3 separate regions of the Mus musculus genome follow, and regions 2 and 3 are each reported to be linked to region 1. The links are microRNA targets in miRTarBase. Many come from high-throughput screens and were not tested one by one. Region 1 holds a microRNA gene; each other region holds the end of a gene's coding sequence.
Evidence for each region. The annotated mature microRNA mmu-miR-93-5p reads CAAAGUGCUGUUCGUGCAGGUAG and lies in region 1 at 1,162-1,184, shown strand. An mRNA with a match to its seed (bases 2 to 7 or 8) in the 3' UTR can be bound and repressed. Matches are read on the target gene's strand: a 7mer-m8 pairs with bases 2 to 8, a 7mer-A1 pairs with bases 2 to 7 and ends in A, and an 8mer does both.

Region 1 (3,248 bases):
GCACATCACCTATGTCCACCAGCACAGCCGGCAGCCCCCTGCCCAATTTGAACCTTTGGACATGAAACTTATGAGGTAGGAGGGGTGGAGATGGGTATGTCTGGGGAGAGTACTGGTCTGTGGCATTGTCTTATGCCAAGTGTGTCTGGAAAGCATTGAGTCTTGAAAGGACTCATCTGCTTATCTATTTCAGCCTCAAAAGTAGCTGAGCCTGGGTCTCTCTGTAGCCAAGGGATCATCAGAAACTTTTTTTCTGTTTTGGGATGACAGAGCAGCAGGCCTTATATAATCCTAGCTACTCTGAAACCTGAGTCATTTTGGGGATGTCTCCAAAAACTACTTCCCTCCTGTATATAAAGGAACCTCTCTCACTCTCTAAATCCTGTCCGAGGCAGGTCTAGCTTTTTGGCCATAAGTGCTTCCATGGCACAGATGACTCGGGTTTCTAAACTGGTTTTCACATGGTCTCTGAAGTCTGTCAAGGGGTTAAGTTAAATCCTCCCACTACAGGTGCTTTGGTAAATGTCATTCTCCTGAAAAGTTGGAAGTTACTTGAAGTGTCCTGGCAGCCCTGTTTTGGAGAAATCCCTCACTGTCCACGTCAGCATAGAATATTAAGTGGGGAATCTCATAAAGCCTGCCTGCTTTCCCGCTTTCCCATGAACCTTGTTTCCCACAGACGGTACATAGCCATGTGCCACGAGAGACAGCCCACAGTGCCTGAATCTCTGGCTGACTACATCACCGCAGCATATGTGGAGATGAGGCGAGAGGCCCGGGCCAGTAAGGATGCCACCTATACTTCTGCCCGGACCCTGCTGGCCATTCTCCGACTTTCCACTGCTCTGGTGAGTGGTGGGTCCCTGTCAGCTGGAAAGCTGACCCCTGCCTGCCACCTCACCTAATGACCCTCAAGCCGCCTCCTTCCCTCCTACCAGCCCTGCTGGGACTAAAGTGCTGACAGTGCAGATAGTGGTCCTCTCTGTGCTACCGCACTGTGGGTACTTGCTGCTCCAGCAGGGCACGTGCAACGCCCATGGAGGGAAAGGCTGCTTGCTGCTTGAATCCATGAGGGCTAGGACTTGAATTCCTGGTGTCCTAGATATGATCTTAGAAATCTCCATTCTGTCCTCCCCTCTTGGACCTTAGTCATGGGGGCTCCAAAGTGCTGTTCGTGCAGGTAGTGTAATTACCTGACCTACTGCTGAGCTAGCACTTCCCGAGCCCCCAGGACACAACCTCTGATAGTGGCCCTAGCTGAGCGCCCCAGGCTCCATTTGTTTGATGGGGAGCCTAGTGGAGTTCAGAAGGGTCTGGTCTCCCTCACAGGACAGCTGAACACCCACCGGGACTGGCCAGTGTTGAGAGGCGGAGACTTGGGCAATTGCTGGACGCTGCCCTGGGCATTGCACTTGTCTCGGTCTGACAGTGCCGGCCCAACACTGCAGATGTGGGGGGGCAGGGAGGAGTCCCCATTTTTGTTCAATGAGTAGGCAAATGTGGCTTGCCCAGGCTTGAAGCTGGAGCAAAGAAAGATCCTTGACTTCATTCCCCTCCTCCCCTCCTATCCCAATCTTTTCTATGCCTTCCCCTTAGGCTCGACTTCGGATGGTAGACATTGTGGAGAAGGAAGATGTAAATGAAGCCATAAGGTTGATGGAGATGTCGAAGGACTCCCTTCTAGGTGAAAAGGGACAGACAGCTAGGTGAGGATTTTAATGAAGAGTGAGACTGGACCACTGGGCTTATTGACCTGGCTTGCCCTCAGGGTTTTGATGCTGATTGCTGCTACTGTTTGTGGCCTTGCACCTTCACCTTTTCCATCCTTGTCTTTTAGGACCCAGAGGCCAGCAGATGTGATATTTGCCACCATCCGTGAATTGGTGTCACGGGGGCGGAGTGTCCACTTTTCTGAGGCTGAACAGCGCTGCATATCTCGTGGCTTCACACCAGCCCAGTTCCAGGCAGCTCTGGATGAATATGAGGAGCTAAATGTCTGGCAGGTTAATACTTCTCGGACACGGATCACCTTTGTCTGATAGCCAGTTTTTACACCCTCCTGCCTACACCAGAGGGCATGCTGAATGCCCCCTCAAGAAAAAATCTCATTCTCCCATGCTGCACTTTTTTATTCTGCCAATAAAGTGTTTTGATTGCCTCTTGCTTGTTAATAACTCTGTAGAGTTTTTAGTATGCTCTCTCCTCCCCTAGTCTCTAGTACTGACCCTTACTATGTGCTAGTCAATCTGGGAGATAGAAGGCCTTGGGACCACTGTTTCTTGAGATGCTTCCAATTATGGACATTTCGTTTGTTAGACCCCCACATCTAGACGTGATGACACCAGGATGTGAAGGGCAGAAAGTTGCGCCTAGCACAAGGTATGACTTAAGTGGAAGGCCTAAGGATGAGGTACATATCACCCTCCTAGGTACCTTCAGGATATAGAAAAACAAGGACTTGAGATAACCACAATTACAAAGATGGAATTCAGCTTCCCTCCCCTTCCTATTTGAGAAACATTTGCAGTGAAATTAAATTAGCCTGGGAAAGCAATCTTTCTGTGGAGCTGTGACATGAATTGATCACAGAGCACAAAAACTGGAAGCAAGCAGGTCGTCCTATCACATTTTGTCTACTTCAACAAGGGGTCACCTCGAGTCATTAAAAGGTGGGTAGGTGGTCAAAAAATGTGGATTAATGGGTGAAGCTTCCTTAAGAGTCCATGTTGAGAAACCAGTGTGGTGCCTGAGAGGACAAAGCCACTGGAAGGGCTGCTAAGGGGCTGCTCTTTTATTAATGAGTTTCTCTAAAGGGAATGTGGTACTCAGGTCCATGGAACAGCTGTCTGAGCCCCACACACCATCCCTTCCAGAACCATCATCAGAAAAACAGTCCCCGCATTCGCCGGCCAATGCCTTGTCGGTCGTAGAGGACGTTGAACTTGTTCACAAACTGGTTCATTGTGTTGCACGTTTTGGTGATGGTGCCGAGGTAGGCCATGAGCCCCACGTCATTGCATTGCTGGGAGGGAACACAAAGAACCAGTTCCCCAGGGGTCCCTCGTATTAGCCAGTGACACTTGAGTTTCACCTCCTACCTGTGAGGTGGTGTGAGCCCCACCTCCCCATCAAAGGTGTCAACACTCACATCATAAAAGTCTGTCTTGAACTTGTCAGTGCTGAGAACTGGAAGACAGTGACATAGGGCATAGGCCTCCCGCAGGATCTCATGGTTGAAGGGAACCTCT
Region 2 (3,248 bases), not on the chromosome of region 1:
CCATCACTAGAGCCTGTGCCTCTCTCTCACACCCTAATAGAGTCACACCTGTTTGACTCCCAGGTACCCTACAGTCCAGTTCTGAGACCATGACGCCATCAGGGTCCTTCAGTGGCTCCCAGGATGACAGCGATTCAGACATGACCTTCGGCGTCAACCAGTCGTCCTCAGCATCAGAATCGTCTCTGGGTAAGGAAACACAGAACTCGGAGGGGCAGGACTTCCTCATGACATGGGTGCTCTGGCTGTGCCCGTGGCCTTGGCCTTTGCTGGCCGAGGAGGCCAGCGGTGTTTGCCATTGCATCTGCTCCTCTCTGCTGTGCTCAGTGGGTGAATAAATACAGAGAATCAGAAGCCCAAAGGCTGCTGATGAAGGCAGTTTACCTTTGTGCTTTGTGAGACAGCACTATCAAAAACGGGTAAAATTCAAAATGTAGACAAAGATGGGACTGTGCCCATTGCCACCAAGGGAATACTACATTCAGAGTCCTTCTGAGAGCCACGCCATTAATGAAATCCTATCTCCCTTCTGGCAGTGACAGCCCCCAGCTCCCCTCTGAGTCCCCCGGTGTCCCCAGCCTTCTCCGCACCCGAGCCGACCGGCAGCAGGAATGGAGAGTGCACAGTGTGCTTCGACAGCGAGGTGGACACGGTCATCTACACGTGTGGACACATGTGCCTGTGTCATGGCTGCGGCCTGCGGCTCCGAAGGCAGGCACGGGCCTGCTGTCCCATCTGCCGGCGGCCCATCAAGGATGTTATCAAGATCTACAGGCCGTAGCTGTGCAACTGGCTCGGCCAAGGCAAGGTCACCTTTCTGAAGCCCCTGCTAGGTGGGCGACACCATGGCTATCAGGGAGCCTGGGGTCAGGAGCCATCTCTCGTCTGCCACTCCGCAGTGATGAGCAAGGCAGGACAGGTATGGAGATGAGGCCCTGGGGGCCAGAGCCCAGGCAAGCACTTGTTGCTTCTGGCTCAAACACACATCACCCCCAAAAGCCTGTCCCAGGATTCAGCTCAGGAACTGCCTGGCAGATCACCTGCCTCTTGGTGACCTTCAGCTGGGAAAGGGTACCCTCTGTCTGTGCAATGCTTCTTTGGGGTTGGGTTGAGTGTGTGTGTCTGGGTGGGGGGGTGGGGAGACAGCACGGAGAATGGGTGAGAGAGAATGTGTGAATGTTTTATGTAGGGATCCATCTCCTGGAGGGTATTTAACACTACGGAATGTGCAATCTGGGCCCAACTGTTAGTGTGGTTGTCCACTTTCTGGGGATTTAGGTTTTTCTGCAGTGAGCTAGCTTTGAACACAGGAGGCCTGAACCTACACAGAGCTCCCTCAATGGCGCTCAGATTTTCTAAGGGAGAGCAAAAATAACTCACTGTTTACAGCTCCAGACAGCAGCTCCTGCTGAGGGGAGAAGGTAGGCGGAGAACATCGGAGAACAGGTGGCTTTCGCGTCTCACTCAGCCTAGGAGTAGCCTTCCCAAGGCAGCTGAGGACAGGTGCCCCAGCTGTAGCAACTAGAGTCCTTTATCCCCAGCCACTAGAACAGTAAACACCTCAGCCTTGTCCCTACTTGCTGTGGCGTTTTATGACGTCCTTGCTGTTCTCTAGGACAACTCCGTGTCTCCCAAGGTAGAATTAAGAGCTTAGGGCATGTCCCAGTGAGCAGCTGGCAGAAGCTAGAAGACCCAGACCCCTACCTCGTCCTTGTCCTGACTCTCATTTTCCTGTTGATTATTATGGTGTTAAGTACATCAGTTAGCTACTCGTGAGGAACTGACTGAAAATGCTCCCCACTCCTGGGCCTGTTTGCTGCCATTTCCCAGGCCCCTGGCCCTGTCACCCTCTCACTGGGTCACTTATGTCTGTAGGCTTCCAGACTTTGCCATTGCGGATGCTCTGGCCGTGTGTGCCACCCCTCCCTTCTAAAGAGCCACGGGTTGTACCGGATGTGCATCCACCTACCCTGAGCTGTACCTTTAGTGAAGTTCCTTGACCCTCCCTCTTCTTTGCTCCTACTTGGAAGCCTGGTGCCAGGGCATTGGTGAGACCCGCTCTGTTGTTGTTGTTGTTGTTGTTGTTGTTGTTGTTGTTGTTTTGAGAGAAAGCTTGAGACACCTTGCCAGGAGCAACTGTTTCCTCACAGTGCCTAACCTGGCCCTCTCTTGCTGTGAGGGAGGGAAAAAGAGGGCAAGAGAAACATTTAGGAAGTGAGGTTCATGGAACAGATTTTGACAAGGAGCCATGGAACACTTGAGAGCAGCCCAAGCCCCTCTCAGTGCCCCTGGTGGCTGGAGGCCTTGGGCCTCCACTGCTGCTCTGAAAGAGTCAGGATCTGACCTGTTCACAGCTCCGCCTTCCTCTCCCAGCAAGAACCTCTGAGAGCTCGCTTTCCCTTAGGGATGTCACGCCCACCTTTTCACTTTAGGATGATTCTCTTCCTTTTTCTTTTTCTTTTTCTTTTTCTTTTTCTTTTTCTTTTTCTTTTTCTTTTCTTTCTTTCTTTCTTTTTTCTTTTTCTTTTTCCTTTTCTTTTCTTTTTTTTTTTTGTGTGTGTTTTGGTTTGTTGTTGTTTTGGTTTTCCTGGAACTCACTCTGTAGACCAGGCTAGCCCCAAACTCAGAAATCTGCCTCCTGAGTGCTGGGACTAAGGGTGTGGCACCACCACTGCCCTGGTGCAGCTGACTCCTTTAAGGAGCTAGAGTAACCCTTGTTCGCCTCGGTGAGAGTCTGAGAATCAGGCGCTTTGGCTACACAGCTCAATTTACACAGCCAAGCCTTTAGCTTCTATGTGTGCTGGGCATGGACAGAGCCTCCTCATCGCCAGTGATGATGGCCGGGTTTCCAGGCAGCCGTGGTCCTGTCTGAATATTGTCTCTAACTGCCACAGTTTCAGAGAAAGGGGAACAAGTTCTCCTTTGCTTCTTGCCCTCCCAGATAGACCCTTGAGGTGTATCAGGGGTCACCCACAGCCACCACCAGGACATCAACAGCTGAGGTCCTAGACTTAGGGGTGGACCAGGCATGATCCTGGTGACCTGTTACCAGGACAAAAAGGAACCACAGGCCTGTTTAACCTGCTCTGCAGCTGCTATAAATAGCTGCCTTGTTTCCCACAGAGCAAAGGGGGTGTTTCTGTTCTGAAAGTCGGGTATTTGCCTGTGCTCTGAAAGACGGAGTCAGGCCCTAGAGAAAGTGTGTATGTGTGTGTTTCATCTCAACAACGGGCAGGAGGGAAAAGAAG
Region 3 (3,248 bases), not on the chromosome of region 1:
TTTTTTTTTAATCTATAAAGGATTTTGGTTGGTTGGTTTTGAGATGGCGTCTCACTGTTGCCCACGATGTTCCTGCTTCCAGCTCTTGAGTGTTGGGATTACAGGCTTGAGCTATCACATCTGTCAATAAAACTTTATAGGAAAACAGCTGCACTTATTTGTCTACATACCTTCTGGCTGTTTTGTACTTCAGTGGCAGAACTGAACAGTTGTGACCAGGACTGGAGAGTCTGCCAAGCAAGCTGTCTGATCCTTTAGCCTTTGAGGGTCCCTATAAGGCTAAGCAGAGGGGTGGGGTCTTCCTGGCAGGCAGGAGCTGCTCTGCTGGGAATGCAGCAGGATACCTTACTTTCCTGTCTTGTTTTGGCAGAGGCTGATCCCCGGCTGATTGAGTCCCTCTCCCAGATGCTGTCCATGGGTTTCTCGGATGAAGGCGGCTGGCTCACCAGGCTCCTACAGACCAAGAATTACGACATCGGGGCTGCTCTGGACACGATCCAGTATTCGAAGCACCCTCCACCATTGTGATAGTGCTGTGGCCAAGCCCCACCCCCTTTGTCTTGTAGTTGCATCACGTAGAGCAGCAGGGCTTCTATAGATAGGCCCAGTGTCTTGGCATTCTTGTAGAATCTTCAGGTGGGAATGTGTGATGCCTTTTCAGGCAATAGGAAAGTGCATGAGGAGAGTTTTGAATGTGCATATGCTGACGCCTGAGAACAGACCCAGGTACCCGTGGCTGAGCTGAGCTTCCTCTGCTTTCCCTAGGCCTGGCCTCTGCAGGGAACTGCAGCACACACTGCACTCCCACCTGCTCTTGCCGCCAGCATTGCACCAGCAGTCCAGAATTCCTGCCTGACAACCCGTGTTTCCTTTATTAAAAGTGATTAGTACAACTGCTAGTTATTTTCAACAAATAAAGCCATTATGTTAAGAGGGGACTGTCCATAGTGAGTGAAAGGTGGCAGGCAGGGGCCTACAGCTCCTAGGGAATGGAGAATTCATGTGAAGCCGAATGAAGGATCTTATCTTATACTGTCCCCCTTTCTAATGGCCACTCTTTAGTGTTTGTGTCTAATGTTAATGCTTAAAGCACAGGACCCCCATGTAGCTTCCTCTGACTTGGTTTGTAAGTAACCTGTAATAAAATGGCATATGCACTTTAACCAGCCCTGTGATCCGTACGAGTGTAGCAGCAAGAGGACTCTGTTGACAGGCACGTTTATTGTTGGGTTATTTGTTCCAGAGCACCCCAGTCTGTGACAAGGAGGACTGGCATTGAGGGACACAGAACAGTGAAGGCTACAGGTCATCATCAAAGTCCTCTCCGGTTGTAAAGAGGTTGTGCAGTTGCAAGGGTGGAGCCTTCTGGGTCCCTTGAGCCAAAGGCCTACCATCTGCTCGAGGAGTCCCCATGTCCCTTGGCTGCTCTCGGGTCTTCCTGTCAGGTCTGTCCAGTTGTGGGGTGGTAGTGTGAATGGCTTGAGGAGGCCTAATGGCAGGGGCTCTGCTGAAGTGGCCTTCCACTGGAGTCTTGTTCTCAACAGTCCCTTGTGCCAGGTCAGCTAGCATGGTGGCCTCCTGCAGAGGACTTGGTTTCTCATCCACTTGAGGACTATTTCCAGGTGCCAGGAGAAACCGTGCCCATTTAGAAGATGGGGCATTAACTTGTGTAACAGGACTTGGTAGTTTCCACCTAGGAAAACCGAGCTCTCTGGTGTGGTTCGCAGTACTGAGGGCAGGGCTGGTGCCTTGCTGCTCTGTTCCAAACAGGCCAGTGGAGTCCTGAAAGTAAGCAGAGAAAGCGCTCATTCAGCTTGGCAGGATGCTCAGCAAACCCTGCTTTCTGCATAACCACCACCAATCCCTTTAACAAATCAATCTTACAACCCCCCACCCCGTTACCCTGACCTGATAAATCCCATGACCACATTTCTCATATAAAGAAGACATCCTACCATTGAGTGAGCCATCTCTTGGGAAGCTCTGGGAGATGTGAGCAGGAAGGGGCCTAGACACTGACCACCTAAAAAGCTGCAGTCTGTCATGCCTGCACACTCCCAGCTAAGCCAGGACATCTCAAAGCTGGACTGTGGTGCAGGAGCCCAGGTGGCTCCACTGAGGTCTCAGGTGTGACATGGTGCTAGGCCTGGCTTTCCCAGCTCAGAAACCAGAGTTGCAGAGGACACGGTTTCACTGCTTGCAAAGGACAGTGTGACAGTAACACTGGGTCTTTGCACCATGAGTGCCCAGGGAATGCTGAAAAGACTGTGATGCTGGCTACTGAACTTGCTGTGAACTCAGACGCTTCCAAAGTCTTAGTTCCTCTAAAACAGCAGCCTGGTGATACTGACTCAGTTATAGTGTTTGGTCTAGGATGTGGTCCATGGCAAAGTCTCTGTAACTTACAACCATGATTCAACAATGGGACTAAGCCGGGCGTGGTGGCGCATGCCTTTAATCCCAGCACTTGGGAGGCAGAGGCAGGTGGATTTCTGAGTTCGAGGCCAGCCTGGTCTACAAAGTGAGTTCCAGGACAGCCAGGGCTACACAGAGAAACCCTGTCTCGAAAAACCAAAAAAAAAAAAAAAAAAAAAAAAAAAAACCAATGGGACTATATCTACCGGATCACTAGGTAGTTCATGAAACATCAAAATTTAACTGTCTCTGGGCATTGTGCCCTGCTCAGCATGCAGTCTGAGGCTGAGCTGGTGGCCTTTTACCTCTTAGAGGGAGAACTCTCATTCCTAGGGCTTCCATAGCTGTGCTGAATATACAGTGGGCCCACTAGGTCTGAGCATCAGCATACTATAAAGTAAGCAGTGTGTTCCCACAGACAGAGCCCAGGCAACTCTGATTGTGACCAGGCTAACAAAGTTCCTCCACTCTGCAGGATCAGTCTTGCCTCAAATCCTACTCGCCAGCCTTGGTTGACTCCAAGGTCTCAAGCTATCCTCTTGGCTGTGAAATAACAGCATGAGATGACACTCATGACCATGTCTTGCTGTATGTCTGAGTGGCCTTGAATTGAGCTCTTCCTGCCTCAGTCTCTTGAGGGCTGGGATTATGGGTGTATTCCACCTGGCTCACGAATTGGTCTTTTTGTGGGGTGGGAGGAAACAAGTGTCTGCTATGTACCCTGGAACTTGCTCAGTATACTAGACTGGCTTTGAATGCACAGAAACCCATCTATGTCTCCTAAGTGCAGAGATTAAAGGTATGTGCCACCATGCTTAGCCTAGGACGGAGCT

Region 2: the mRNA of Neurl1b is a reported target of mmu-miR-93-5p. Seed matches in the 3' UTR shown: 7mer-A1 at 2,425-2,431.
Region 3: the mRNA of Sqstm1 is a reported target of mmu-miR-93-5p. Seed matches in the 3' UTR shown: 8mer at 1,155-1,162.

The regions. Positions count from the first base shown.
Region 1 is chr5:138,163,510-138,166,757 of GRCm38, reverse strand. It overlaps Mir93 (microRNA 93), which reads left to right and starts at 1,148; the gene lies at 1,148-1,235. It overlaps Cops6 (COP9 signalosome subunit 6), which reads right to left. Exons shown (of 10, transcript NM_012002.3): 9 at 3,149-3,248; 10 at 2,774-3,022. The coding sequence ends at 2,882. Mcm7 (minichromosome maintenance complex component 7) reads left to right here. Exons shown (of 15, transcript NM_008568.3): 12 at 1-75; 13 at 680-848; 14 at 1,597-1,706; 15 at 1,838-2,175. The coding sequence ends at 2,039. Mir25 (microRNA 25) reads left to right here and starts at 1,354; the gene lies at 1,354-1,437. It also overlaps Mir106b.
Region 2 is chr17:26,441,015-26,444,262 of GRCm38, forward strand. Neurl1b (neuralized E3 ubiquitin protein ligase 1B) reads left to right here. Exons shown (of 5, transcript NM_001081656.3): 4 at 64-189; 5 at 537-3,248. The coding sequence ends at 781. Among named protein-coding and RNA genes, the nearest start is that of Neurl1b, 28 kb to the left of the region's middle.
Region 3 is chr11:50,198,070-50,201,317 of GRCm38, reverse strand. Sqstm1 (sequestosome 1) reads left to right here. Exons shown (of 8, transcript NM_011018.3): 8 at 371-1,166. The coding sequence ends at 528. Mrnip (MRN complex interacting protein) reads right to left here. Exons shown (of 7, transcript NM_026543.3): 7 at 1,203-1,782. The coding sequence ends at 1,300. Among named protein-coding and RNA genes, the nearest start is that of Sqstm1, 11 kb to the left of the region's middle.